Linked DNA regions of Arabidopsis thaliana. The protein of the gene in region 1 interacts with the protein of each later gene in a pairwise test. Each region holds a gene or a part of one and is shown on either strand. Other genes may lie near its edges. The genes, in order: ARA-2 and AT2G23070.

Region 1 (12,768 bases):
ATATGAAAAAACTCGGAAAATAAAAATTAAAAAATCTCTGTTTCCAGCCTCATATGTGTATTTTGGAATAATATCATATATGCCCCTCTACTCTATAGACGAAACTACTATGACCACTATATATTTATACTCCAAAAGTCAAAAGTTTCTTACCATAAAGAGATAATACCCTTTTCCTTTTTATTTTAAAACAATTATAGGTTGGCCTTTACATACTTTTTCACAAATGATAGTAGTAAGAACACATTTGAAATTTTCACATATTTTTTATGAATAATATTTGTCGTCTAATACATCATTATTATAAAATATTTTAATATTTAATTTATAACAAATAATTTGGTATATTAGTAGGGAAAAACAACCATGAAGAATTTAAAATTGTTAGTTCAAAAGTATATATATTGGGTGTTCATGTGACATTATAAAAATATAGGGGAAAAATTAAAAACTAATGAAATAAAGGAGGGAAAGTGAAAATAAACGTAAAGTTATACGTATAAGAGTCGTAGTACATCGTGTGTGTATGGAAGCTCTCTTGGATATGAAATATTATTTTATGTTTTTGATATTTTTGTGTATTTTTAATAATAAAAGGTTTGGTTTTAGCTATGATTATTTACTGGTCAAATCGAAGGGGCTTAAGACTCTCCTCTGGTTACATTTAAAAGGAATCGAACGACCGTCACCGAGTCGTTGCTTTGCTTCGCTGTCCACAAGTACATGTCATTAAACAACGTACTTGAGGACCAATTGGATTTGTCCGTGACGTAGAAAGAAGGTGACAGCCTCAGTGGTAATAGCACTTCCCTTCCGTTTAGAAAATTTGGATAAGGCTAGTTAGCCAGCCGGACTCGCACTATTGCCAGCTGGCACGAGTACACCAATGAGTCCGTTACGCGCGAGGAGAAGCGCGTGGAGGATCGGACACGTGATATGGAGAAAGAACGTGAGGACGCGTGATGCCGTGTGCGATGCGATGTGTGGACCACTTTTGGGGCTAAAATAGCTAAGTGACTTACCAAACGTGTCTAGGACCTCGTTTTGGACCGTTTGACACGTGTCGAAACAGGGGACGCTTTTGAGCGTGTGGTGAACCAGAGTGATCAAGTGTCATACGTTTTTGTTTTGGATGGTATTCGTTAGTGGAACAGGAATTAATTAAAAATGGAAGCATATGGGAATAGATTTATTTATGGTTAATGTTGGTCTATAAAAAAACAAAGACTACTCCGTATGAAACTAGTTGGTCAAATTAATTGTTGGTTGCACATTGTCTAATATTGTCTTTAATGATTGATTAGTTGTAGGCTTGCAGTTACAACCTCGATAAGATTTTTGTGTTGTCAGATTGTAGTTGTTGTGATTTTTAAAATTGTACCTATATGTGAATAAATATATTGAGAAAACAAAATATATATACATGAGTCTAATTAGGATGATGTTATTGAATTATTGGGCTTTCAAGATTTTCCTTAGTAGAGAGATGGACCAGAAATGTTTTAGCTATTCTTTGTGTATGTTGCATAAGTAACACGATTGTTCGGATGGAGCAACATTATAGTAAGGTGTTATGTGAACCGTAGAAAGTTTCTGAGTAATACATAATTTCAAAAATTTATAATCTAATAAAAAAGTAAACTTGATATTTTTAAAAATCAATACAAATATCTCTAATTTTATAAACTCTCCAGGTTGCTAGCTAAGGAGTAGTAGCTACATTCATTGAAACCCAAACTTAAGAAAATGAAAGTAAATAGTATCTTCATCCTGAAGATAAATTTTAGAAAAGTAGGTGTATACTGTTTATTGTTAATCTTGTTAAATTGTAATTAGAAAACTGTATTAAGTTAAAAATGATTATGTTGTGAGTGGAAGTTGTTAACAATATATGGAGAAGATTTCCTAAAATGTGCAACTAATTAAGCGGAATCATCTTTTTAAAAATTTAAACTTTTTCTGTTCAAAAACAAAAAGAAGAAGAAAAAAGGGTGATTTAGAGCCAACCCGACAAAAGCTTTCATCGTCATCATCTGAATCATTAATTCATTATCATCAAATAATACAGCAGCAAGCAACACAGTAAAACCCAATTCCCTAATCCCAAAATTCGATCTCTCATCTGATGGCTGGTTACAGAGCCGATGAAGAGTACGATTACCTCTTCAAGCTCGTGTTGATCGGCGACTCTGGTGTCGGCAAATCGAATCTGCTCTCTCGGTTCACCAAGAACGAGTTCAATCTCGAATCCAAGTCTACTATTGGTGTTGAGTTCGCTACCAAAACCACTAAAGTCGAAGGCAAAGTCGTCAAAGCTCAGATTTGGGATACTGCTGGTCAAGAGAGGTCAGATTACGTTTCCTCTCTTGCTTTTTTTTTCCTGCTTACTTTATTGAAAATCCTTAGGATAAGGTTTTAAAAAACCATCCTTTTTGGCTCGATTTCGTTGTTGAGTTCTTGTTGGATTCGCTGTTTATGAATTCATGGTGTTTGATTTATGTATCTGAATCTGTAGCCTGATTTGGATATTACAAGTTCAAAGTGTCTTGTTCATTTTTCCTTGTTGGTTTACTAGTTACGACTATTTGTGGCAGAACTAGAGTTTTCTGGTTTTCGGAACGAAACTGGTTGTGTCTGAATTTGTAAATCTCTTAGACTTGAGCAACTTTCAATATGGTTCAGAATCTCAATTGTGCTGAATATCGCTCGCAGGCTGCAGTTTACTCGGAATATACTTTTAGGTTTTATTCACATTTGGGCTACTAATGGTTTTCTTTTGTGGCATAGCTTCTGTGTTTGTAAGATTCTTGTTCATAGATCTGTATCCCTCATATATGGGTCTACTTGATTAGCTTATTCAATCCTCTCCTGTCTAGGTCAATTCCCGTTGTTAAAATGTTGTTTGTAGATATCTGTTATCTAAACCTCGGTTACTATACTAGTATTGTGCTGTTCCATCCGTTTCACACATTGATATTTGTCTGAGCTCGTCTGTGATGAACTTCTGAACCCAATATACTTGTTGAAAACAACATTTCTTTCATCTCCTCTGTCTTGTCTTGCACTAGACATAGATAACATTTTGAATTTTGCAGCAGAATTCTTCATTAACTCTGCGATTGTAACTTTACAAAGTAACCATTTGGTAGATGGATACCATGTAATATGGTTATCGAAAATAGTCTAACTTTGTGTACTTAATCTGTAATGTTACTGAACTTATTATTGTAGTTGTTATTATATCTTTGTTAACAACATCTGAGAAAATGCTGGTTTTGTTTATGCTATGATAGATACCGAGCAATCACAAGCGCTTATTACAGAGGAGCTGTTGGTGCTTTGCTTATTTACGACGTGACAAGGCACGCAACATTTGAGAATGCAGCAAGATGGCTAAGGGAACTAAGAGGACACACAGACCCAAACATAGTGGTGATGCTTATAGGGAACAAGTGCGATCTGCGTCACTTGGTGGCAGTCAAAACAGAAGAGGCTAAAGCCTTTGCTGAGAGAGAATCCCTCTATTTCATGGAGACTTCAGCTCTAGACGCAACCAATGTTGAAAACGCATTCACGGAAGTGCTCACTCAGATCCACAAGATAGTGAGCAAAAGAAGTGTTGATGGAGGAGGAGAGTCGGCTGATTTACCGGGAAAAGGAGAGACGATAAACGTTAAAGAAGACGGATCGGTTCTTAAGAGAATGGGTTGCTGCTCTAACTAGAGTGGGGGGATTGTAGATTTGGCTTGATTTGGTTAGGGTGAGACAACAAATGATAATCTCTTTGGGTCTTGCAATCAAAAAAGAAATAAGAAACGATTACTTTTAAGATCATGTGTATGCTTTGGTAACTTTGGCCTGTAAGGTCCTTTAAAATTTAAGTACATGATTGGTAATTTGTTTTCAACACTCCCACCACTTGTAATTTGTAAACTTGTAATAAACTGAAGAAATGCAAATCATCACCTACGTAACATTTCGAAAATAGATCTAGCGACTTTTAATTTAAGAGGATGATTATTTATCCCTCTAGTCTTTTGTGTTGAGAGAAGAAAACAAAAAAACATCTGTAGCTAATCTTTTGGACATGACATGGTTTAATATTATCACCTCGTTTTTCTTTTGTCTCTACGTATCTGTCAGAATTGTTTTACAGACAAAAACATATACAAAAATACACGAGGAACAGTGTCTCTCTCCACTCTCCAGGCTACGGAATAAAAAAAAAAAAAACGCAATTATCAGCATCTGATTTCTCAAAAAGCTGAATATGACTTTACTACGGGTATAGAAGCTGATAATAGTCGTGGTTAATATACTGTTGAACCTGTCAACTATCAAATAAAAGTAGTAAACCTGCTTTTCTCCTCTTTCTCTTCAGACATGCACAGTTTTTAACTGTTTTGTAATCCTGTGCTCATTTGTCGTCTCACATGCTCAGGTATTAGCCTGTTGATTAGCTCCATTGAAGCTCCACCTAACTGTTTCCACATCCAAAGAACAAATTGGGTTATGTTGAAGTTCCACTAAAGAAACATCATCCTTTGCTATTGATTTTTACCTCTTGTTTGAAATTGAACAATGGCGGTAATGGACGACCATTTGGAAGACGGGCGTTTGGCTCTCGGAGTTCATTGAAAAACGGATGAGCACATGCTTCGAGCTAAAAATAGACAGAGAACAAGACAAATGTTAAAATGAATCTTAGCTTTATCCAACACTTGGAAGATTCAAAAAGAGTTATCACTGACGACTACTTTCGATTATAAAAAAAAGAGGGAGATACTGACCGCAGTGCAGCGTAGACTTGGTGAATATTGAAGAAGCCGAGATGCAAGGTCTATTGCTTCTGGAGGCATCCGTTTATGAAAAACCTGGAGGTCAAGGGTACAGTATATGGTTGATGCTATAAATGAATCGCTTCAATGTATACTGTGTAGGTAATGAGTTCAGTAATTGCTTAACCAGGAACAAAAGGTGAGATGAACTACCTTGTGCCAAGGGTGAGCTTTGATTTGTGGGAACCTAAAATCTGTGTAGTTCGGGTTCATACATCGAATTTCTTCACGAGTTGGAGTACCAAGAACCTAAAACAAGGTAGCAAGTGTACTTATGGTAACATATTTACTAGATTCTAGTCTAATACCAAAGACAAAAAAGAGCACATCCATTAGTCTAATAAAGGAGACTTCACCTTTATGATCTCCACAAGCTGATCAACTGAATTTTCTCCTGGAAATAACGGCTGTAGAGAGAGAGAGAGACTGGCTTAATATAACATTGGGTGCGCACTTTTTGCATTTTGCAGAGACTCTTTATTTAACAAGGTAATTAACGCATAAAAATCCACACTAACCTGGCCCAGAAGAAGCTCTGCCAGTACACAACCAGCAGACCATATATCTATGGATGCTGTATACTCTGTGGCGCCAAAGATCAGTTCTGGAGCACGATAATAACGGGAGCAGATATATGATATGTTTGGTTCACCTTTGACCTAATAGTGAATTACCAAAAATTTAAAAGGGTTACCAAAACAGAGAACATGCTGCTCGCACTTAATGGTATAACTCACACTTATATGGTAGCTCAGTGAACTAGATGCGTAGATACATAACCAAGCCGAAAACACACAAAAAAGGTGAGATAATGAAAAGATAACACCCTTACCAATACTTTTGCACTTCCAAAATCACACAGCTTAACCTGATGGGTCAAGGGATCAACCTACAGTATGCACCAGAAAGTGAGATCCAGAAATAGTCAAGATTACAAACCACATGGCATGCTAGATAACGTACCAAGAGATTTTGTGGTTTCACATCTCTGTGGCAAACACCGGGAACAGTATGGATGTAAGCCAAACCTCTAAAGATCTGCACAATAGATATTTCAAATCAGTTTCAGAGTAAATTCTAATAAATTATAATATTTGTGAGAACTAACTGCAAATAACAGTACATACTTGATATGTGTAAAGCTTGACATAGAAAATTGGCATCCTCTGATTAGAACTAGTATAGTGCCTCAAAACCCGGTATAAAGTCTCAGGTACATACTCCATAACAAGGTTGAGGAAGAGCTCATCTCTACTCGTTGTAGAGAAGAAACAGTGCTTCAAGGAGATGACATTTGGGTGATCCATTGGTCGCATTAGTTGCAACTCACGGTTTTTATAGCGTCGATCTTGCAAGACCTTTTTAATGGCTACTGATTCTCCAGTTTCCAAGCATTTCGCCTAAAATCGTAAATTTCAGACTTGATCAGAAAGAAAGAAGAGAATTTATGTCCTGGAACCGCTAGTACAGAGAAGCACAAAATACCTGAAAAACAATCCCGAATGAACCTGTTCCAACAACCCGCTCAGCCATGTAACTAATGGTCTGTAGGGGACAGAATGAAGATCATGTAAGGGAGAGATGAATTAATTTGACTTGAAAAAGGGTTTTAATGGGAAAGTAACACTTGCTGGAGCATTTGATGCGAAATGAATAACCCAGACCCCGCAGAAACCTTACACATGGTACTGTGCTATAACCGTAAGTGTTAACTACTAGTTAGTTATCTAAGAGATTTTGCAAACATTAGCATCAAACCTGCTTTGGTTCGCCGTTTTTGCCTCCAATAGTAGTGGAAATGATATGACCAGTAACAGCGTCATTTCCCTCAATAACAGCTGCAGACATTTCCTGCAATCCACCTCACATATTAGTATAGACATTAAACTATTTTGATCAACTACAAGGTGGAATAGAGATGGCAAGCATTTACTGCATCCGATTATTTCAACAAACCTCAGGATAGGTATGACTGTATGAGAATGCTGTTATTGCTATTATACAAGTGGTCGGAATTAACTTATATTGAAAACGTGAAGCTAACACATATAAAATGTACCAACTAACCAGTTGTCAAGCCAATAGAAGCACTCAAGCAAGATGCAGAAAGAATAAGAAAAATAAAGTAAAGCATGGGTTAACCAGAGGTAAACAATGGTGATAGAAGTTCAAAAATGTAGTGATTTTAGACGTCAAACAATTTATGGGTATTAGATATAGAACAAAAAAAAAAATCATAGATACAAAATACAAGTCAATGGAAGAAGTTCTGCCAGAGTGAAGGACAAGCCATAAGACAAAATTCAGAATAAATGTCGATGGCAAATAGAAAAGAGAGAGAGACAGAGACAGAGAAGCAATGGGCCAAGAAAACCATAACTAAAGGAATACTCCGAAACCTACCGAGAGTGAATTCAGAGATCTACAAGTAAACTGTACTTTGTAGAATGAACAGTGTTGAAATAAATAATATCCAAACAAGCAAATTGTTGTACTTGAAAGTGAACAGTGTTGAAACAAACAATCGAAATATCCAAAAACAAATATGAAGGGGAAATATTCAACCTAGTTTACTGAAAATGTAAGTTTCCCAAGCGCAAGAAACTATCTCAAATTATTTTACACTAAATTTTTCAACAAGATTCGAAGATTACTGCTACTTAGATCTCCGGTAGAGAAGGTTGAAGTAGTAGCTGGGAGATACCAAGAGTAATCTAGCTACTGCATGCATACAAATGAAGTAAAAATCACAGTCTCCTATCAAAACGCCTCGTCGGAGAAAGAAACAAAAAAACTCTCCGGTGAGCTCAGATCAATACAAGCGACGAACAAACACAAGAGCACGAGAATATAGATCGATTCGACTGAACTAAGACATAGAACAAAGAAAGTAGGAGCTAGATCGGAGTAGATCTAGAACAGCCACCAAACGATAATTTCAAATGCACTGTTTACCAAACACAGACGGTAACAGTAACACACAAAACAAAGAGACGGGGAGAAATAAACCTTATCAGAATCCAATTCAGGACGGCGTTTCAAAGCGTCGCCGTCGTGAAGCTGCAGCGGCGGAGCAAGAGCATGAGGCTGAGGCCCCAATGGTAATGAGGCCATGTGCTTTTTTACTCTTTTCTCTCTCAACCACTGAACAATGAGTAAAGTCTAATTTTTCCTCTCTCTTTGCTTCTAAATTTCAGAAATGGTTCAAAGACAATGGAGGACCCACGGAAGACTAGAGCGCGTGAATGTAACGGTCCAATGAGAAAACTACTTTTTAATTGATAAAGCACTGAAAAATTCTGATAAACACTTCCTTAGCATTTAATGATAACTAAATTACTAAGTTGAGTTAGAACTCCATTAAATATTCTAACTGAATAATAATGGTATCAAATGAATGAATACTCCAATCATATTTCCCAATTTAGATATTAAGCTTAACTTAAAGAGACTTTTCTTTGTCCCTTTAGCCTGAAGTGTTGCCTTTGTAAGACAATAGTTAACGATAGATTCTTTTTCATTACACTAACCAACAAAAGAATTACAGTTAGCATTCATACAAAGATAAAATTTAAGTTGCAAAGGGCTAAAAAAAATGACGATGAGACTAGTTTACGAAAATGTAAGATTAACAAGCAGTAGTGGGGAACGTAAACTATACAAAAATAAGACTCTGAGTCAAAGGGATTGGAAAGTGAAAAGATATATAACCGTTACTGTGATATCGAACAAGAACAATTGTCAAACAAAGAAAGATCAATGGAATCTACCTTTGTGGAGAGTAATTCAATAGAGTAGGAAAACTAATATTCTTTCCAATACATCACCAAAAACCATCTTTTTTAGAGAATTCATGTGACTATATATCTGCATAACAAAAGAAGATACCAGTAAAATCAATCAAAAGACCCACTCATGGAAATTTGTATTAAAACCATCTGTTTCACTCTAATCAATCTAGACAGTTTTGTTCAGTCTAGGCATTATCTTAAACATTACAGCATCACAAATTCCACTAAGAAAACAAACCAAAACTTGTGACTCACTGGAACCAGATCATCCATCAGCTTCTTTAAACAAATTCATCAAGCAACTGATTGATAAACAGGCAATGCCAAGCTCTCAAGTAACTTGAGATGAAACAATTTAACATTCTTCCATCTACCAGGAACTAAATCACCAATCCCATTCATGGCCGCTACAACATTCTCTGCAATCTCGTTCCTTCCCATTGACAACTTCGCTACTTTAACAACACTGCAAGTACCTGTACCAACGAAGAACAAAGCTGATTCACAAGCTTTTTCGATCTGCTCTTTCCAACTACCATGCCTTAAGTTAATCGCAATCGGAGTCTTATTCTTCTTAACAAACTCTTTCCCCAACAGCTTCGGCAACATCGGCATTAGCCTCCTCTCCGCGAAATACAACTCGAATCGCTTCTCCTCCTCTAATTTGCGTAAATCGGATTTCAATTTGGAGACTTTAATAACTGTGGTGATTGGAATCTTCTCTGCTTCGATCTTCTTCAAAGCCGCTTCCTTTGTGATTTTGTTCTTGTGTTTGTCGTCGATGATCAAACAGAGCTCCGGCGGATCTTCGGCGACCAGATCGATGAGAGGATGAGGAAGAGGGATCATCAAGGGGTTAGTACGATCCAACTGAGGGATTCTCTTCAGTGTCACGATTAGATAGACGAAACCGTCGTTCTCGAGTGATTCAGAGTTCTCGGTCTTGGATTTGGAGTCCCACCATTTTAGCAGAGACTTCACGGCTCTGTTAACGTTCTGCGGGTCAACCTTCGACTGGTGTCGCTGCGGAAGTGCAGCCGTAGTAGTAGTAGTACTCATTCTCCGGTGAGAAGACGGCGCAATGAACACAGGTTACGTTTGCGGAATTAGGGTTCTGAGCAAAAATTATAGGGTTTACGATTTTTTTCTTTTTTTTTTCTTCTTTCGACATTTTATTCGATTTTTTTTTTTGTAAAACTCAAAAATTATATGCGTTTTATTAATGATGCGCCACTTTATCCTTTTTTCTGGGGGTAAAATTGTCATCTGCTCAATCGTTTTCTCTGACCGCCGGCGAAACTCTTCGCGCTTCCCCGACTGCCGGCGAAAATCGACGCTGCTTCCCGTTTCCGGTTAATTAAGAGCTTTCCTCTGTACCTCTTCAACTCATTGTAGGCTGCGTCTTCTTCAATGGCAACAAGGAAGCGGAAGAACGCTGATTCGTGTAGTGACGCTCTTCTAAATCAGAGCGAATTCGATCTCCGAGGCAGATATTCTTATTCAATTATCTCAATCCCTTGGCACCGTATTCTGGTAATGTTTCCAAAATAAAGATAAATTGCAATCGCTTTAATTTTCTGATTTTGTGGTGAGTGATTGAACCTGTGTCAATTCTATGCTGCTGAGTGTTTCTCAGGTTGATCATAATGGATAGGTGCGCCGTGCGGTCATTTGACATTGCGTCCCATTGTATAAAGTTCTTCATGTGACGGGCCTTGATACTACTTCCTACGTAATGGTCAGTATACTTCTTCATTATTTTACAAGAAATCTTGAATTGTGGTATTAACAATGTGTTGTTACTTTTGCAGATGATGTAAAAGCTTTTTTGGTCTACTAAGAAGATAAAATTAGAACCTGTTAATATTGATTTTGAATATAGGCTTCTCCAAAATCTGATGTTACTGCAATTCCAATAAGATTTGCCTAGGTTAATGACGAACAAAGTGAAGCCAGCTCACCATTACACTATGTTGATAGTTCCTAGTTCCTACTATGTTGAGAGGTTGATGTAACCGGAAGTGAGTTAGAGATCCCAGATCCCTCTGTTTCCTCTTTATTCGTTTTTGCATTTTAACTCTGCAGCTGTATTCTTTAATGTTAGTTTTAATGTTTTGTATTGAACATTTCATTGCGCTTACTAGCTTCTGCTGTGTTAGGTCTTTGGTCCTCGGTTTCACCTGTCTGTTGGACCGTATGATATGCTGCTCATGGGTCATTGTGCCTCTCAATTTTCTGAAGCTTCCTCTCATCCGGTGGAGACTATTACGGAACTCGCTCATGGCACTGGTACTATTTCCTGTCATGCTTTTCACTTTCACACTTTTTTTCATTGCGGGAATTATCAAGTCTACAAATCAAAAGCTTTTATCTCTTATCCAATGGATCTTAGCAGATATATACAGCATACTCTGCCATAAGTAATTCAGGTAATATGGATGTACTTGAATAAATGTAAACTACACATGGGAACATCTTTTCATTGTGAATTATGTTTTCCATGTCGTTTACTCTGATTATGAATGACAGGTTTGTGCTGCCTGTGTTACCCATAGCTTTGATATTCTCTGGGTATACATTTGCTCAAATGGAAGCATCTGATTTATCATCAATCATTAAAGAGAAGCAAGTCCCTGGAAATAACCATATCATCAAGTGGTCTCCTAAACTAAGACTTCCAGTCTTCATTTTGCCTGCTACCAATATCCCGAGGCACTACACATGAGTTTATTCTATCAAGTTAAAAAACTAAACACTCTAGTTTATGAGTTACTCTCTTTTTCTTTCTTTCTAATTGTGCTAAAAGGAATTCTTGTTTTCTCAATGGACACGAACCAAGGATGCGATGTACAGACTTATCGGAAAAAAGGATACAAAGGGAGAGTAAAGAGCATTCTCTCTCTCATGCCAAGCCATTCGACTCCTTATTATTATTATTCCACTCTCCATAGTAACATTCCAATGCGATTTCTCGACTACACACCAAGGTAAATGGATCACGCCCCTGAGTCACAGTTTTTGCTTCTATGCGATTCTTAAGGATTCTTCTTCTTATTATTTTGAAACAGCGAAGACATTAGGAGATTTTGATGAGTCAGACCAATTCTTAATGGACCTTTTAGGATTGGCATCAAAGTTAGCTAGAAATTGGCCAGCACGACCGCGTCACATATTATTGTTTGCATCGGAAGCAACAAAACTCAGAGGTTTTATGATCCACTATTCCTTCCAAGAGGCAAGTTGAAAAGCAGGACCACCATTTTTTTCCAACGCTGATGTTATTCGTTTAGTAGACTAAAATCTGTTTTGTTGGCAATGAAACAGGTCAAAAGTTTTTTCCACACACATTTCAAGGTTTATAGATACATCAAATCAATCCCCACTAGTCATCTATGCTAAAAAATACTGACTCGGTCTAACTTCGCGTGTAGCTTTTTTTTTTTTTTTCCTGTTACCAAAAAACACCTTGATGTTATGGTGTTTCTGTCTGAACCACATGAATGCACTAGTTGATCAGGTCGGTACACAAGTTAAAAAAACGAACTCAACGAAAATGTCAAAAATTCTCAATTATTCTATTTGAGTTTTATTTTGAATCTGTTTTACTCTCTTAGATCATATGTTCGAGTTAAGAGCTTTTAATTTATAGCCCCGCGAAGTTTCATGATCAAATCTCAACAACTTTCAACATCAGAACCCAAGAAAAAATAAATCATGTTTTGGATCAAGGAACGTTTGTTGATTCTCATATATGTCTGGTTTTCCTTAGGGATTGATGCCCACACGGAAATTAAGTTGTCTATCTACCACAAAAAAAAAAAAAAAAAAAGGTAGCTACCACATTAAATTTCTCTGGTTACGTACAATCAATGTTAAAAGATTTGTTGTTTCAATGTAGCTAGGTCTCACCTATATATGGATTCCTATACGGGGTTTTTACATACCGTATATACTGTTTTGTGAGTTTGAACTTAATACTAATTGACAATATTTATATATTAACCCACGTACGTTTTTATATTTCATGCTACTGCTATAGAGATTTCATCATTAGCAATATGAAATACCATTCTTCAATGTTTAATTATGAATTTATGATCAATCAAAACTGTGTACTTGCAATACAATACGATTTAACA
Region 2 (17,708 bases), on another chromosome or scaffold:
TCAGAATTTTGGGTTTGTTGTTGCAGACATCTCTACATGGAAGCTGTCCTGTTATCAAGGGTGAGAAATGGGTTGCCACCAAATGGATAAGAGACCAAACATATGATTGAAGATAATTCAGATTTGACTTGTAACTTGTAAAAATTTCATTCATATTTACTAGTAAAACAATAATGCCTAAAAGGTCCAAAGGAGATGATCTTAATAAGACATGAATCAAACAATCATTTAAAATAATAGAATCCTCTTAAACTAATAATCAAACCTCTTATACTGCTTTCATTGCATCTTTGAACTTCCAAGGTTTTGTGTTTCCTCACTTCATGCTGCTACAAAATCGAAGCGAGACCATTAACACAAGATCATAGACCAACTTGAGTTTCCAGTAGATTTATCTTCGTTTTGCCTTGTCCTGCTTCCGCATAAGTATCATAACCAGAGACCACGAGTTACTCAGGATCATAATTTGTGCCAATCATGGTGTGGTGACTTTCCCCATCGTCTCAACATATATATACAACCAGATGCAGTGAATAAAGAAATGGCACCAAGAGCCATCATTGTTGAGTTCTCGATCTTGTTAGAGTAGCCTCTCTGCAATATTAAGATCGGTAAGGTAACAGAAACAGAAGCAAAATAGGTTAACAATTGTGTTTTTGATAGCACAAACCTGGATTAAGAAAAACAAAATAGCTGCATTGGCTGGAACTTGAGAGAGGCTTATCATCCCTCCACGCAATTCATTTGGTACATACCTATAAATAAAGATAACAGTCCGTTACAACAGAGAAGAAAGGTTCTTCTACTAACAAAGAATGTCTCTGATGAATAATAAGGAAAAATATATAAGAGCATTACATTGTTCTTAATCTTGCAAGCAAAGGAAGTGCCAGTCCAGCAAAGCCATGAAATAAGCAGAAAAGTACTACTAAGATTCGGATTTCCTGCAGGATATGGTCTTTTATGCGTGAGGCCTTCCATATGAAGCAAATAAGTTTTTCACTGGTACACTTTTGTGAAACAAGCAAATAAGTTACCTGATAATCATAGGCTACTATAGAAAACACTATCCCAAGTAGTGCGTATATGTAGACTAAGCAATCTTCAAGCCGGAGCAATGATTGTCCACTCATTAGCCATGGGAATACAGTACTCCCAAGCATTCTTGAACCCAAGAAACATGGATATATCAATCCCAGATTCACTTCACGCCCATCAGCCTAAACAAACATAACTCATTTTAATCATTCCATTGTCGAGAAATAAATACCAATAATTTTATCATCTAAAGGCCAATTAGGGAATCACTGGAGGTCCTAAACATCAAATGACAGTAACCATCATTGCTAATTTGATTTCTGAAATATAAAATTTGGTTCAAGCAACTGCAAATATTATATTAGGAAGCTTAATCATACCACTATTGTTGGTGCCCACAGAATCCAAAAGACTGCAGTGGAAAACTGAAGACAGGCTTGTGAAGTTCCCAGAAACCATATTCTTTTGTCTGATCACATTAACAAGCTAAGATTAGCGTATACTCTTTCAGGAATTTTAACTGAATAGATGAAGACAAAATCTTACCACCAAGAACATACGCATAGAAAGCTGTGGAATAATCCCTAAACGGAAGGGTCTTCAACGGCTCTTTTGCAGTCTGGACAATACAAATAATAGTCACAACAGACAAGAGCAGAGACGCCGTAGCAGATAATGCAATCCCATCCTGAACATTTTCACCCACAAGCCAATTTGCAAGAACTTGACCTCCAATTAAAGATGCAGACTCAAGAAAAGTCATCAACCAGAATGTCTCATTTAACGAGTCATTCCTCTGACTTTGCTACAAAGATACAAGACACAGAACATCATTACAAAATCAGAACATTGATTATCTAATAATAAAAACTCAAATGCAATGACCAATCCATATACCTTTTCATGTTCCACAACAAGCCAAGTCTCAAACCCAAATGAATATACAAGACCAGCAAGGGAGAGAAAAACATTTGCAAACCAAGCACTAGGACTCATTGTAATCCTCTTCCACACACCAACAATAAGGTGCAAGACACAATAGAGTAGACAAATTTTCTTCTGACCTCTACAAAAGTTTCGGTATTTATCATTACTAGCACAAAATGAAAACACTTTGATCAACATTTTACTAAAAGCTACTTACATGAGATCAGAAACCACACCAAGTACAGGACCAAGAACAAGAGCGGTCGAATAACCAACACAGAGATAAAACACCATTGATTCTTTACTTAAGCCATAAGTTGTTAACTCCAATTCTCCATACACTGACAATAAACCTTCCATCACTGCCACATTCCAATCAAAGAATTCAAATTGTAGCAAAGGATCCATTTTGATAGACGAGAAAAGGCAAAAGTTGAAAGCTTTCGAAACCAGAAATTGAAAGCACCATAGATACAGATAAAAATCTGTAGACCCAACTGAAGAAATCTAATGATGTACCTGAAGAGAGAGTGTAGATAGCTAGAAACCATCTCTGGAACCGAGCGAAAGAAGAGGAAATAGAATGATCAAAGCTACCAAAAGTTCTGTTTTTGGCCAAGTAAGGAAACAGAGATATCGATAAAAATGTGGAAACGAAGAAGAAGATGAAGAAGCTTGAGCTTGGTTCCCAAATAAAGGTCTCAATAACGACACCCATCGATCCAAAATTCACCGGTAAATCAGCCGGAGAAAGAAGTAAAAGAACAAACAAAAAAACTCAATTACGTCGGAGAGAATTTGAGATCTTGACTGATGTAAGTGGTGCACAAAAAGAAATGAAGCCCAATATTATTATCAGGCCAAAAGGCCCAATAACTATCCCACCCAAAAAATAGTCTTAAGTTGAAGTAAGCTACACAAAATTTTGTTACAATTTGTTTTTGTATAATATTTCTTGACCATTGACATCGCCTTTCACATTTTTTTGAACATGTTTTTTAGTCTTTTTTTTTTCTTTCTTATATGTGTGTGCAACAAAAAAATTCAAGTTCATAGCAAAGATTTAACGTTGGTTGTTTCTAGATGTTTGAATTCACCACAACGCAACTAATCGCCAAAGATGTATATCAAATATGAAAAATTGATTTTTTAGATATTTGAATCTCTCTTAGATCTTTTTAAGAAAATATTTATCGCTCTTTTAATTACTCTTCGATCCTAAAACATTATCTTGGCCACAACGATTTTGTGAGACCAATGGAAATACTAGAAGATTATGGAGTTCAATTTTCAAGATAATTCGAATTTGGTGCGAAATCCAAATTATCATGATGTTGATGAAAATTATGATTTTGTAGGTTTTTCTTTCAAATACTTAGGAAATTTCAGTAAAATAGATAAGATTTTATGAGAACTAATGGATAATGAGGATTCATGATGTTGCATATTTTTCAAGGTTTAACATGAAATATGCAAGATTCTCAAATCCAGATTTCAAGAAGCCATAATTTTGAGATAAAATTTATAGCATATGCATCAAAACACAATAATAATTTAAAACAGAAATTACAAAATAATCATTTCCAAATTTTGATTTTTTGCCCAATTTGAATTTATGTTAAAATTTCTGAATCATGTTTTGGCCGAAAAGAATATGATGAAATCATATGTTAGATGTCAAAATTACGGAATCATCTAGAAAAAATCAAAATGAATTCTTCTAGAAGTTAACAATAGAAACCACTCATTCGCCGGGTGAAATCAATTGACTGACGAGTTGTCTACTAAACGAGCGTTAGTGTGAGTTAAACCTCTAAAGTTTGATAGCTCGAACTACTATCGAGATTCTTCGGACAATCTTTCTTAGTATCATCTCGATGTTCATTGCTATACCATCATTTGCTCTCTTATACTCAATAGACAAGGTAGTAGTTAGCTCGTGCAATCAATAAAAAGCGGTCATATTTTGTGTGAGTGAGTGACTCATTTTTTTTGAAGAAGATAAATCGTGTAGGTTATAGCTTATAGAGACCTAATAAAATTGACATTTACTAGAGTCTGTCCTAAAACAACAAAAAAATAATTTTCCTTTATTTTTAATTTTTTAATTGTAAATTCTGTTTTGTTTTAGTTTTTTTAGAAGTTAACAATATAAACCACTCACTCCCTGAATAATATTAATCCTATCATTTTGCATGAATGAGTGAGTGTCTCAATTCCTTTGAATAAGATAAACTGTACAGGTTATCAATTAGCAAAAAAGAATCTTTTTCTTGGTTTAGATTGAAAACATATTTGTGTGTTGGTCAACTGATTTATTCAGACCAAAAAAAAAAAAAAAACCTCAGTCGTTTAAACGTTAAAGGTTCTTGTTTTAACGGGCCTTAAATGGATAATAAGTCCGAAGGCCCATTATGTTGAATTATCTAGAATCCAAAATAACTTTAGGTGATTGGTGAGTAGGCGAATTAAATGTAAGTGGACATTACAGAAAAAGAATCAAGTGGCATCGTTTTTTTCTTTCTCATATAAATCTTTTCACATTAGAGTCGGCATAAAAATTCCATTTCGTATTTTTCTCTTCTTCCTCTTCTGAAAAATTAGGGTTTGAGTTCTTCTTCTAATCGATCAGAAAGATGGGTGGAGGAAACGCACAGAAATCAGCCATGGCTCGTGCCAAAAACTTGGAGAAGGCTAAGGCTGCAGGAAAAGGTAACAACCAGATTCAATTTTAGGGGTTTTTAGTCAATTTCAAAGATGGAGATTTTAGCCGTAAAATCGTGTTTCTTAATGATTTTTGTATTTGATCTCTCTTATAGGTAGCCAATTGGAAGCTAACAAGAAAGCTATGTCGATTCAGGTGATCACTTATTACTTTATATCATCGTCTTCGAAATCATCGAAATATTACAATTATTGGTTACTAGAATCAGCTTTTCTTAATAAGAATCCAATTATTATTAGTCCTTTGGAATTGTTTATGTAGTCATGAAACGTAAGTTTAATTGTCTCATGTTGATGCACAATTTCTTGTTGATCCTGAAGCTTTGTGTTAATGAACTTGTTATTTCTTGTTGATCCTGAAGCTTTGTGTTATATTAACTTGTTATTTGTTGATGTGTGTGTTTATATAGTGCAAGGTTTGTATGCAAACATTCATCTGCACGACATCGGAAGTGAAATGCAGGGAGCACGCGGAGGCGAAGCATCCGAAAGCCGATGTTGTCGCTTGTTTCCCTCACCTCAAGAAGTGATGAAAGCTATTATCTCAACTATAAAGGATTCCAATGTATAACGTATGGATCCTCATCTTTCCTATGTTTGTATCAAAGTCTCGACAAATTTTATGGTTTCTATTTCTCTCTACTTGTTTCAACAATAAGTCTCTTGCTATGATTATATAATGAAGCTTTGTGTGGAACCTTTTTTTTTAATATAAGTTGGCTTCTTTTCGCTGTTGATTATGTTTCTATGAAAGTAAAGATTACCACAATTTTGATACAACAAAATCATTACAAAGTTTTTGGTTGAAAAATAGTAGTAAGCATCATCAATCAAGCTTCGGTTTTACTGAGTTCGTAGTCTGCTGCTCTCTGCGGCTTTAACTTGAGCGAAGTATGGATGATCCTATAGATCAATAGAGAAACCAGAGATTATAAGTTTGACTTGATCATCGGGTAAAACAAAATCAAAAGATGTGTGCACATGAAGATCATCGGGTAAAACAAAATCAAAAGATGTGTGCACATGAAGAGGATTTTTACCATGGCTTCTCTTGCGGTTAATCTGTCTTGATGATCATACTGAAGAAGCTTATCGAGAAAATCAATTGCCTAAAGATGTATACAATGAGTCAATACACCCAGAACGAAGCAAAACTATGTTTTTCGAAAAAGAGTAGTACCTCAGGTGAGACCAAATGTTGGTTGTCCGCGTTGATAAACTTGGACCATGGTTTGGGGACATGTCTACAAATAAGAGTGACTTCAGGTTTTAACTCATTGGTATAAAATTAACTGAGCCAGAGTTGAGAACAGCAACAATTTTGACTTTTAAAGACAGAGAGATTCAGGGATGGAATAAAACCTTCCAACAAGTGCTTCCAGTTGAGGGTCAAGATCTAGCTGATATTTGTTTAGGTAATGATCTAACTCATTGGTTCCCAACACCTATGCACACGTTTCAATCAGAAATCATATACATGGATTTAAGTTTACAATGTAATTTTATGCCAATAAGTCATAGACTAGCAATATACCTTGGCAATTTTGACAAGTTGATCATGATTATCATGGCCATAAAAGAACGGTTCCTTACGGAATATCTGCAGCATCAATATTTGACAAGTGAATAAGCAACAGCAAAGTATTAACGACTACCATTCGGAAATTCAAATGCTTGCAATAGCTTCAGCATTGAAGCTAGAGAGAAGAGTGAGGGGATTATTAGTTCTCACCATGCCAGCAAACATGCAACCAAGACTCCACATGTCTAAAGAATAGTCATAATCCTGTAGATCAACTAAAAGCTCGGGACCCTTGAAGTATCTGGCAATTAATTCACAGGTTTTTAGTCTAATGCATTTAACAACTACAAGAAGCTTTGATTGCACAGCTAAAAGTTTCAATCATTGGCATCTACGAATGACCCTCTTAGGCTTGCCAAGACAGGTGGAATTAAGCTGTGGTATCGGATATTACCTCGAGGCCACGCGAACATTATACTCTTTTCCGGGATGGTAAAACTCAGCAAGGCCCCAATCTATCAGACGAAGTTTACGCAGCTGATGATCTATCATGACATTATGAGGCTTAACATCCCTATGCATTATTCCTTGAGAGTGACAGAAATCCAATGCCTGAAATGCAATAACATCAGCTCTGGATTCCACGATAAACATTTGTATGTACGGTAAAAGTCATTTATGGTAAATACCGATACATTACCTTCAGAAGCTCATAAATATAGTACCGGATATCGTAATCAGTCAATGTTGGATACAATACTTTAAAGTCCACACTGTTGACAAACTCAAATACCAAGCTAGGTGTTTTGGAGTGCTCATCTCTAACAATATCATACAGCTTAACAATATTTGGTCCACCACATAGGTTCTGAAGTATTTTGATCTCTCTCTTTATCTGCATAACATCAAGTTTCAGCAAAATTAGCCATCTTTATGTATGCAAATTCATCAGAAATGAGTTCTACTAACTGATCACCTTCTTCTTTTTTACGGGTTTGAGGATCTTGATAACGCAACGCTCATTCGTATTGACGTTTTTGCCTTCGAAAACTTCACTGTATTTTCCTCTACCAACTTTTCTCACAACCTCATAATCATCTTGATGACTGAAGAATCACACAAAAGTATTTAAGAATCTCACACTGTTGAATTTCAAAATCCAATATTTGCTAATAGATACTTAAAACAAAGTGTCTTCAAGAGACCTAAGTCCAAACCCTAAAAAATTCCAATTTCTCTGATTTCGAATTCGATTTGGCAACAAATCAATCAAATTCCACCGAAAATTTATCAAAAAGAAGTCAAAAATCGTAAATTCATCAAAGAAAAATTCTAAAGCTAGAAGTTTTACCCCCATTGAACAACGAGAGACTCGTAGTCCCAATACTCTTTAGGACGAACAACGTTAACATCTGTATAAACCCTAGCTTTCGACATCAATTTCGATCTGAAAAAATGGAGAAATTTGCGATCGCAATCTTCTCTTTGATCGTCAGGTTTGTTTCAAGTGGACGATGATGATGACAACAGAAGAAGTGCGTTGTGCAGGATTAGAAAAAGGTTGAAGAAGAATCTCTGATACCCAAAAACCACCTAAACCAAATCGAACCGATTCAACCACACTCGAACCGAAACAAACCCAATCGGATCGATTTCAATCACACTATAACCGGACCGAATTGTTTAAACGACATCGTTTCGAAGAGAAGCCAAAGAAAAAGAAAGGAGAGAAATAAAGCAAATTCGTTACCTTCACTTTTCATTTTCTGAATAAGAGTTAAAAAAAGACATTAATGGCCTTAAGGCCTTGTACTGGATTCACAATCTCCTCTCTTCGCAACGCTTCCGCCGCCAACAACAATCTCTTCTCTCTCCTCTCCTTCTCTTCGTCGTCTCCGGCGAAGAGGAATCTTCTTCTCTCTTCGCTCCAGGACAATCTCCGTCGTTTCGCATCCAGCGCTTCTCTTTACCGTCAACATCTCCGGAATCAACAACAACAACATCAGCAACAACAGCAATCGCGCGTGAAAGAAAAATCAGAAACGCTGGCTCAGAAGATCGGTAAATCTATCCGGCGTGCCGGTGCGCCGTCGAAAGCTAGGGTTTACGCTGATGTCAACGTTGTTAGACCTAAGGACTATTGGGATTACGAGTCCCTTGCTGTTCAATGGGGGTATATCTTCAGATTCTTCTCTAATTAAACCTAATTACGTCGATTTCTAGATGTTTGCCTTTGGTTATAGATTGGTTTGGGATTGGTTGTTCTGGAATCAATGTGGAATGTAGATTTAGGGTTTCGTTTCATATTTTTGATTGATGATATAATCTCGTAAGTAATGCAGAATTGGTATCTGATTTGTTTGTATTGGTATCTGTTTTGTTTGTATATAATCTCTTGAAAATTGCTGGTCTATGTGAACTAGATTGTTGAATTGATATCTTGAGTTTGTATGGTGTTGTTACTGTTTGGTGTATTAGTGTTTGAGTTAGCTTCATTGATGCCGCAGTGTACAGGATGATTATGAGGTGGTGAGGAAGGTAGGAAGGGGAAAATACAGTGAGGTCTTTGAAGGCATTCATGCTACTGATAACGAGAAATGTGTTATCAAGATTTTGAAGCCTGTGAAGAAGAAGAAGGTGAGTAGATACAGCCGCTTGCTTGTTTTTATCTCAATTGTGCTCAGAATGAAGTGTGTTTCTGGCCCTTCACTTGGTTTGAATTATTCTCTAACATATTTTGCTTCTCCTTGACGCAGATTAAGAGAGAGATTAAGATTCTGCAGAACCTCTGCGGTGGGCCTAATATTGTAAAATTGCTCGACATTGTTAGAGATCAGCAGTCTAAGACGCCCAGCTTGATATTTGAACATGTGAACAATAAAGATTTCAAAGTTCTCTATCCAACTCTCTCAGACTATGATGTTCGATATTACATTTTTGAACTTCTAAAGGTAATTATTCAGTTTCCTGAATTGTAGACCATGATTTTCTTTGCGGCTTTGGCAATTGGCAAAAGTAATCGGTAGATATATCATAGATGTATAGCGTCATACACTGTTGTTTACCTTACTTGACTTTTGAATCCACTAGCCTTCAGTTATAAAGGGTACGAATTTGTTTCTGATGCTGTTTGTTGTTTCTTTTTAACATTTATGCAGGCGTTGGATTTCTGCCATTCACGTGGAATCATGCACAGAGATGTGAAACCACATAATGTCATGATTGATCACGAGCAGCGAAAACTTCGTTTAATTGACTGGGGTTTGGCAGAATTCTATCATCCTGGGAAAGAATACAATGTCCGTGTTGCTTCAAGGTAGTTCCTTTTGGCTATCTGCTAATCTCTCCTCTGCAAGATTCTATTTGTTGCAGTTGCTAAATTTCTGCTCATAGAGAGTCTAGATAAGAAATGTTGAAGATTGCATGCATTGAGCTCTTGAGATTAGTTGAAACATATTATCTAACTTCGTCTAGCTGATGTATACTATTATCATTTCTCACTTCATATTTGATGAGCAGGTACTTTAAGGGTCCAGAGCTGCTGGTGGATTTACAGGACTATGATTATTCCTTAGACCTATGGAGTCTTGGGTGTATGTTTGCTGGAATGGTAAGCGTTTTAAGCTAGAATTTAGTTAACTTGGTTTAAGCTGTAATGGAATGACAAGAATTCGACAGTACATTTTGGTTATTTTACCATTCCTTAAGTTAGTTAAGTGGTGAATATTGTATACTCTACTGTTTGCAGATATTCCGCAAGGAGCCGTTCTTTTATGGCCATGACAACTATGATCAATTGGTCAAAATTGCGAAGGTAACATTACAAAAGCTTTCATCATGTCTCGTCTCCTCTGAACAGATTTTACATTCCTCCAAGTTATAGCTAAAAATACGATTCTATGTATTTATAACTATGGCAGGTGCTTGGCACAGATGAACTCAACGCCTACCTAAACAAATACCGTATAGAGTTGGACCCTAATCTAACATCCCTCGTGGGCAGGTAATCCGGTTTAAAAAGTTATGAAAAACTCTAAAAACTCCAGTTTTGCGCCTTATCATTTCAGAACATTAAATTATGCACTCTTGATTTTATATAGACATAGCCGGAAGCCATGGACAAAGTTCATCAATTCTGAAAACCAGCACTTAGCAGTTCCTGAGGTACAACACTTAACTTTTCTCTATACAATTATGAAGCCTTCATGTTAAGACCAAAACACCGGATTTTTTGGACGAACATGACTCATTTGTTTTCATATACTTTTTGGTTAATGAAGGCTGTTGATTTTGTGGACAAGTTGCTGAGATATGATCACCAAGAAAGGCCAACAGCTAAAGAAGCAATGGTAAGCAACAATTTTTCTTTAATATCTTTCTAAAGATTTTCTCTTATAATTACAGATAAGTGATAGTAGAGAATATGATGGATTTTTACAGGCGCATCCATATTTCTATCCGATTAGAAATGCAGAGAGCAGCCGTACGCCGCGCAGCCAGTGATCTCGAAAACATTTGCTTGTTCAATCTTCTGATTTTTCATTTCTTTACGGATTCAAATTTGTTATAAATCGATCTGTCATTGTTTCATTCTCTCAAGTGTGCGTGTGTTACTGTTTTGCTCTTTCTCAGTGTTTCATTCAACTCATTTGAATTTTATTATATAAAAAAAAATATCCACAAGACGGGTTTCAAAAGGTTTTTCTTTCTTTTCTTCTCATTTTTAATTTTCTGGAAAATTTCATATTCTTGAGCGGGACAGGTTGGTTTGGCTTGCCGGTTTTAGTTAGCCCGTTTTGACAGCTCCGTGGAAGGTAGAAGAAGCTCGCATCGGGAGTAGAGAGTGATGGTCGGTCAGTTAGATATATAACTGTAGACATAAGAAAGCACAAGAATCTCTAATCTAATCCAAATAGTGATTAGGGGACATTAAGCACGTAATCCGATCTTGAGTACTGTGTCTGTGGAACAACCTCGACCTATCTGTCTTATATCTTTTAAGTTTAGTTTAATCTCTCTGGTTCCCTTTGTCCAAATGATTATGCAATCATCCTATATTAGTTTACAATATAGCTGTCTGTCTCTTTCTTTCTTGTTGAAAATGATGCCTTAAAAAAATTACTCATCTCTTAAAATTTTGTGAATTACGCACACGCAAAGATATTGCTGTGTCTAAAACATATGAAACCAAATATGGAAATATATAACTAATAATTGTGCAAGATTTTCAGTATATATATGCATCCATGATCCATCAATCAGTTATTTTTTTCAAATTATTGGAGAAAATCATCCACCAAAAGAGAAATAAATATTTACTTTGGAAACGATTAAAAACGTTTGATAACCGGTGTGCAGTCTTGTGAATTAAGATTATCTTTTGAGTTTTGACACCTTAATCCAAAGTGAGATTTCACGCGTATGAGTAAATGAGATTATTGAATGATGTATTCTGTTGGAATGCTTTAGATAATCAGTTTCGTGTGATAAAGATTTTCTCATTCTGGCCAAAAAAAAATAAAAAAGATTTTTCTGTTTTTCATTCCTGTTTTTATATTGAAACGTTACATTTTTCATATTTAGATATGGGATCATCGGATCTTGAACGTGTCATTCTATCATTTGAATAATTTCTGTATAATGTCGTAGATTCATGGTGAACTAATAACACGTGATCAAAGGAAGCATGCAGGGCAAATGAGAACAATGATCGTCTAGCATGTATGTTTGTAACTTTACTTGAGTAAGAAATCTACAGTTTCAAAATTTTTCTAGATTTGAATTGAAATTATCCACTGATAATACATTATACATGTACGTAAAATCACAAATCATCTTTTTGAATCAATCAAACTCTATATAACCACCGTACTCGTGTACAATCGTGTGCAGTGTGCACACTTCACACTTCCCTACTATTTTTTAGTTTTTAGTTCTATCTTGAGTGGAAAGTATGTAAAGATACTTTTGTTCAAGTTGTGGAGTTTAAGACCTAACGAATCATATTACAATTTGGTAAGAGTAAATCAAAATCTTTTTATGAACATCGATGTGACTCAAACCCACGTACAATAATATGTGACTCATATTTAACCGACCGATATTTAGACCGATGTTACTTCTGATGAATCAACAGGTTCACATTACAATGTTTATATAATCTACCTTCCGGAAATTTTTTAGTATATATACATATGAACTTGTGTGGTTTTAGGAATGCATATCGGGACACAATATTTTTTTGTCGACGTCGGTTGATTAAAAAACTTAATTAGAGTACTTTGATGTGCTTATACGTAGGTCACTAGTCGTAGATATTACATAATGACATTGCTGCCATTCTTACCCTACATTATTAGTTGTTCCTAAACGTTTTATATATCTCTCATTGACACGTAAATTAATGTAATGTTAATATTAATGTGTCCATGTTCCGTAAATTTCATCATAAAACATGGTTACGACATGTTAAAACAAAGATTATCTAAATAAGTCATCAAGAAAGAGAGTTGATTCTTATGTCTGCCATGCATGGGATGCGTATGAATCATGATGATAATGAATGGCGTTGATTTGACAAGACGAGAGTGATGAAATGGCAGAAGCTATGATGACCTCATTCTCATTAGCAGTAGACAACGCTCCATGTCTCACTTCCATGTTTCTCTCTTTTTATCGTCCTTAGCCAAGACAGATGAGATATCAAATATCTACATATATGTGTATATATATTTTTTCATTACTATTAGAACCGCATCGCATTTCATCCGCAGTTGAATCGTACGTCATCATTCTAAGTCCATATATCTTAGTAGAGCGATTTCGTCTTTTTGAACATACAGAAACTGGTTTTTAATAATCCATTCACTTTTGCACCAAATAATAATAATCTATTCACTTACTTCGGTAAATCTTACATTCTAATCGCAAATCTGAATGATGAATTGGTTTTTAAAAGATGGTTGGAGACAGTAACAAATAACGATTCAATAATAATCTGAATTGATGGTACTTTAATATAACAGATTTTTCTTGCAAGGTTAAATATATATCTAGCTACAACCCTATCAAAAAGCTTTTGTAGCATCTATTTAATGCCCTTTTGTTTTGTCTCTCGTTCCTATCCACTAGTTTGCTTTGCGTCTCATATTTATCTCCCCACCACAAAACTCTCAGATACTAAAATTACGAGATAATATTTAGGTTGAAATATATGCTGAAAGCAATATCTCTGAGTAGATAGATATTTAAGTACTATAGTCTCAAGTCATTTCAAGCACAGAACTCTTTTGATAATGTACAAAACAAAAAGTACAATTATATTTTAAAATAACTAACATGGAGGTCACAAGGTGAAGGTGTTTAATTAAGGCAAATTTCAGTAAGTTTTTCTTCAAATTTTGAAGTTTTGATATTGTTTTATTTTATTAATATAGCTTACAAAAGATAATATAATTTATTATGAATAGTTTGTTACGAATTTTTGTTTTTGTTCATATTCTAGTTTCAATCAAATCTATCATTTTAAGAAAACTAGGTTTTTTATTGGTTTATTCTTTTGTTTTTCGTTTAGTTCTTGTTCAGATTTGATCGTTTAAATATATTTTTTAATTACGTAAACGAATATATGGTTCGGCTTTTAGATTGATTATTTTGACTCGGTTTGGATTAGATTATGTCAGTATAGTTTGATTGAACACTCTTAAAAAAAAAAAAAAAAAAAAAAAAAAAAAAAAACTCTTAAACTAGTGACATATCGTGAATATGTATAAGTTTGTATAATTAACTACATGTAATACTGTAGTAGACACTAGACAAGCAAGATTCATGAGTCAATCAGAGGCGTATATGGGGACAAGGTGCATAATCTCCGGGATCCGGACGAGCTAAGGCCTTAGCCTATGTGTCGGAATCTGCCCTCACCACAAATATTACATTTAACTAAATTAATTACCTGCTTTTCTTGTAAAAATAATTTTAAATTAACATACTTTAGCACACATAAACACATGCCAATTAAATGGTTTTGGTTGTAGTGCTAGACTTTATTACACATGAATATGGTCTCCTCTCTTTTTCTATCTAATCATAAACAATTTGTAAAAGATATTTTTAAATTACTTTTATATACCAGAAACTTTCATGTAACTGTGTATTTAGACATGTAAGAAAAATGATTAGTTTGTCATTATAACATTTATTGTGGTTAATTATGAGTAACTAGTGAGTATTTGTAAAAGAAATGATGCCTAGATTTTAGATATAAATCCACATGAAAAAACTTACCATTTAATTAAGTTTACCATAATACAAGTATTTGTTGATATAGTAGTCAAATGATTTTGAAAAACTAATCATTGTATGAAGTTAAATACCTTAGTCTAAAATTCGAAATAATTGTGAGAAATACGTGGTTTACATTAATATTGTTTTGATATCATCATTTCGAAAACGCGGTTGAAATGGCGTTTTCATATTTCATGCATAGTTTACCCAACCATAAAAACTTTCGGTTGCTCTCAAATTGACTTATACAAACATACTGTAATCATTGTCAACAAGCAGTCCCATTCAGAACTAAACTTCTCAATCTATTACTCTTCATTTGTGTTTCTAACTAGTTTAAAGACTTTTTCAAATTTATCAAACGTTGGAAAAAATGAAGAAGAAGATAATTACATCGATATTACGACGATATCTCATGCATATAATAAGTCACTCCGACCGTAACCTAAACCCACTTCATTGTTTGATTGGACATAACCTTAGCAACTAATTATCTCGTTACGTTTCTCCTACACGACAACACGATTTTGTCTCTTCCCCTCGCCGCTTTGTCCCCCTCCAACATTCACAGCTGGACCTCATTTTCACAACTAAGAGACGTATCACGGGCATATTAGTCATTTTTGTCTAGGTCTACTTTTAATTCAGTGAGTAATAACTAAAAAAAACTTTGGCTCGTGGCTTGACTGGTCTTGGCCTCCTCCTCGTTATGATATGCTGAATAAATTAAGGTATAACAAGATTAGGGTTTACAAGCTAAGTACATTCTTAAGTCAATCTATAGGTTAATAATCAATAAAGATCACATGGTTTATGGATCCTCGATGATTTCATAAAGATTCTTATGTCGTAATCGTAAGCAACAGTTAATTTCTTCAATTCAAATTCATACTGACCTGTTTGTTCTGAAATTTGTATGCATGAGTATCAAGAATGTCGTATAAATGTACTGTATTACTCTCGTGTCTATCATATAGTTGCATATTATAATCAAAGTGTTGGCATAATACCTTCTACTTTGTAGTCAGATTCTTTTATGGTCAATTTTTGAAGATCTAACTGTAAAGTATTTATCTATTGACAAAATAAAGATAATGAATTATATATTTATAAAATTATGCTAAGAAATCTTTTCTTTTTAACTTTAAATTATAAATTTATAGCTCTAAAACAAAATTTTTTTTTTTTCTTCATATATTTGTGGTTGGAGCCTTTATATCTTGGACAAGAATTTGGGTACATGTCAGCGTTGTTCTTGATTACTAATCTTTCATATACTCCCTCTGTTTTGTTTTTATAAAAATGATGTTTTAGATAATTCTCTTTTTCAAATTAAGTGATATTCTCATCTTTCTATACAAATTTTATTTATTTTTACTTTTGATAAAGGGTTTCTTTTACTATTTATAGTTTGTAGTTTGTTTATATTGGTTGAATTGTGTTTAAATAAATAATAAATGATATATATCAAGTATTTTGGAATAGCGGGAGCAATAATGAATTTTATATTGATATTAAGTATTTTAGTTGTGTGAAAATGAAATTGGAAATTACAAGATGGAAGCTTAAAAAATTTCAATGACTTCTCTACTATAGTTTGTGTTAGTATCTTTGTTTCAACCAATTTAAACGCATATTACATGTCAATGGAGGAAAAATAGTTATTGTTAAAACACTGAATAGCCATTTAGGTAGATTTTTCACATGTAATATTTATATAAAAAAAAGATTCTAAGAAAATTAGTATGTATTTATTTATATAATTCTGAACTTTGCTGTTTAAAAAACAAAAATACACTTTAGAAAACTTCAGAACTAATCCAATGTCACTCCCTCCACTAGTTAACGACATTAATTAGATAGGCCAAAAATCAATTCGTTAAATTCTAGTTATTTTTAACTTGCTCTGTTGCATATTAAGATTATTTTTGACTGTTCAGTAATTCGTAATTAGCCGATGTAAGAAAATGATTTTTACGTATAAAAAAAAAGGACGTGATAATGTACCGTACGGATCATCAAAATAATATTGGATTAGATCAAGATCGTTTCAATGCCGATCTCGAGGAATTTGTCGTGGAATTTGTATGTTTGAAATTCGTTACAATTAATCATAGGTACATATATTAAAATCATAACAAGAAATGATATGTATGTTTGAATTCTACAAACTGGACCGGAAAACACTAATCTGTCTGCTAATCACTCGACATTTTGCGTCATACGATGTGGTCCATGGCTTATGTTATGTTTTAAAAATTCAAACCTAATTTATATACACTAATCTCATGGATTTTATATTAGACAACCCAACCACGAATGCTGTATTCATACATGAACCTAAGAAAGTGTTTTCAACAAAAAAAAAAAAAAAAAAAAAAAACATATGAAAGTGTATTATGCCGTTAAACCGACTTAGTTCATTCTAAACGGAATTAAGAAATTTTATTTGAAAATTTGTACAGAATTTTTAGTTTATATGTATATATTTATCTAAAAGTATTTTTAACAGAAAATAAGTAAATAAATTCAAAACAAACCGGAAACCATACTTTTTAATCTTGTAATTTGAAATATATTATGACAAAAAGAAATTGAACCTACAAAAAATATATAGTTTTTATCTAACACGACATAATAAGTTCATGATAGACTATGTTTCGGGAAGACTATCTCTTTATCTCGTAGAAGAAGAAGGTCCTAAAGACTCTAGGTAAAATAGAGTGTTCGAGCTAAACTAAGTTCGGTGAAAGTTAACTCGAATCACTAAAACGGATTTGTATTTATTTTTTTTAAGACATCTTGATTGATAACACAATTTGCTGGAATAGAACTTTGATGTAAAAACCCGAAAATATGAACCGTTTAATACTTGACTAAAGTCACTTTCCTCAAACTTTTTAATTTCTGTTTCTGTTTTTTCTTTTTACTTTGAAATCGTGAAAGGATCAAGAATACGTATAAGTCTACAAATATAGTTCTTTTGCGAAACCTAATTCGAAGACTCAATCTCAACACTAGCAACTCTAAAGAAGTTATAAGTTTCTTGAACAAAAACTAAGAAAGGAACACTAAATTTCTAGCATACACGAATGTGACGGTGGAGAACATTATAAGGTAAGATGGGAAGATATATCTGAAACTACGCACCGTTATATTTGCCTTAGATTAGTGCCTTTCTTCGTCTCTCTTTTTAGTTTATTCTGAATCC

Evidence for each region.
Region 2: the proteins of ARA-2 (region 1) and AT2G23070 interact in a protein complementation assay, tested with the Arabidopsis thaliana proteins (one large-scale study listed by BioGRID).

Annotation. Positions count from the first base shown.
Region 1 is NC_003070.9:1,942,044-1,954,811, reverse strand, and holds ARA-2 (Ras-related small GTP-binding family protein), read left to right. Parts: upstream 1-1,931; 5' UTR 1,932-2,125; coding exon 2,126-2,346; intron 2,347-3,293; coding exon 3,294-3,723; 3' UTR 3,724-4,216; downstream 4,217-12,768. Other genes in the region: GSK1 (GSK3/SHAGGY-like protein kinase 1), read right to left, coding at 4,395-4,481, 4,562-4,663, 4,791-4,874, 4,992-5,087, 5,195-5,245, 5,357-5,497, 5,671-5,727, 5,802-5,876 and 4 more; AT1G06380 (Ribosomal protein L1p/L10e family), read right to left, coding at 8,924-9,688. UniProt on the Arabidopsis thaliana protein: Involved in auxin-mediated response. May be involved in vesicle trafficking of components involved in polar auxin transport. Binds GTP and GDP and possesses intrinsic GTPase activity.
Region 2 is NC_003071.7:9,817,168-9,834,875, reverse strand, and holds AT2G23070 (Protein kinase superfamily protein), read left to right. Parts: upstream 1-7,977; 5' UTR 7,978-8,004; coding exon 8,005-8,384; intron 8,385-8,718; coding exon 8,719-8,848; intron 8,849-8,967; coding exon 8,968-9,162; intron 9,163-9,369; coding exon 9,370-9,527; intron 9,528-9,730; coding exon 9,731-9,821; intron 9,822-9,959; coding exon 9,960-10,025; intron 10,026-10,131; coding exon 10,132-10,214; intron 10,215-10,311; coding exon 10,312-10,375; intron 10,376-10,491; coding exon 10,492-10,560; intron 10,561-10,651; coding exon 10,652-10,714; 3' UTR 10,715-11,234; downstream 11,235-17,708. Other genes in the region: P4H13 (2-oxoglutarate (2OG) and Fe(II)-dependent oxygenase superfamily protein), read left to right, coding at 27-110; AT2G23093 (Major facilitator superfamily protein), read right to left, coding at 460-594, 671-755, 859-944, 1,038-1,220, 1,419-1,507, 1,585-1,843, 1,936-2,104, 2,183-2,327 and 1 more; AT2G23090 (Uncharacterized protein family SERF), read left to right, coding at 4,602-4,677, 4,785-4,825, 5,100-5,219; CKA3 (Protein kinase superfamily protein), read right to left, coding at 5,533-5,592, 5,730-5,798, 5,870-5,933, 6,052-6,134, 6,224-6,289, 6,422-6,512, 6,666-6,823, 6,912-7,106 and 2 more; AT2G23067 (Putative membrane lipoprotein), read right to left, coding at 12,728-12,871. UniProt on the Arabidopsis thaliana protein: Casein kinases are operationally defined by their preferential utilization of acidic proteins such as caseins as substrates. The alpha chain contains the catalytic site. Involved in the regulation of various developmental processes.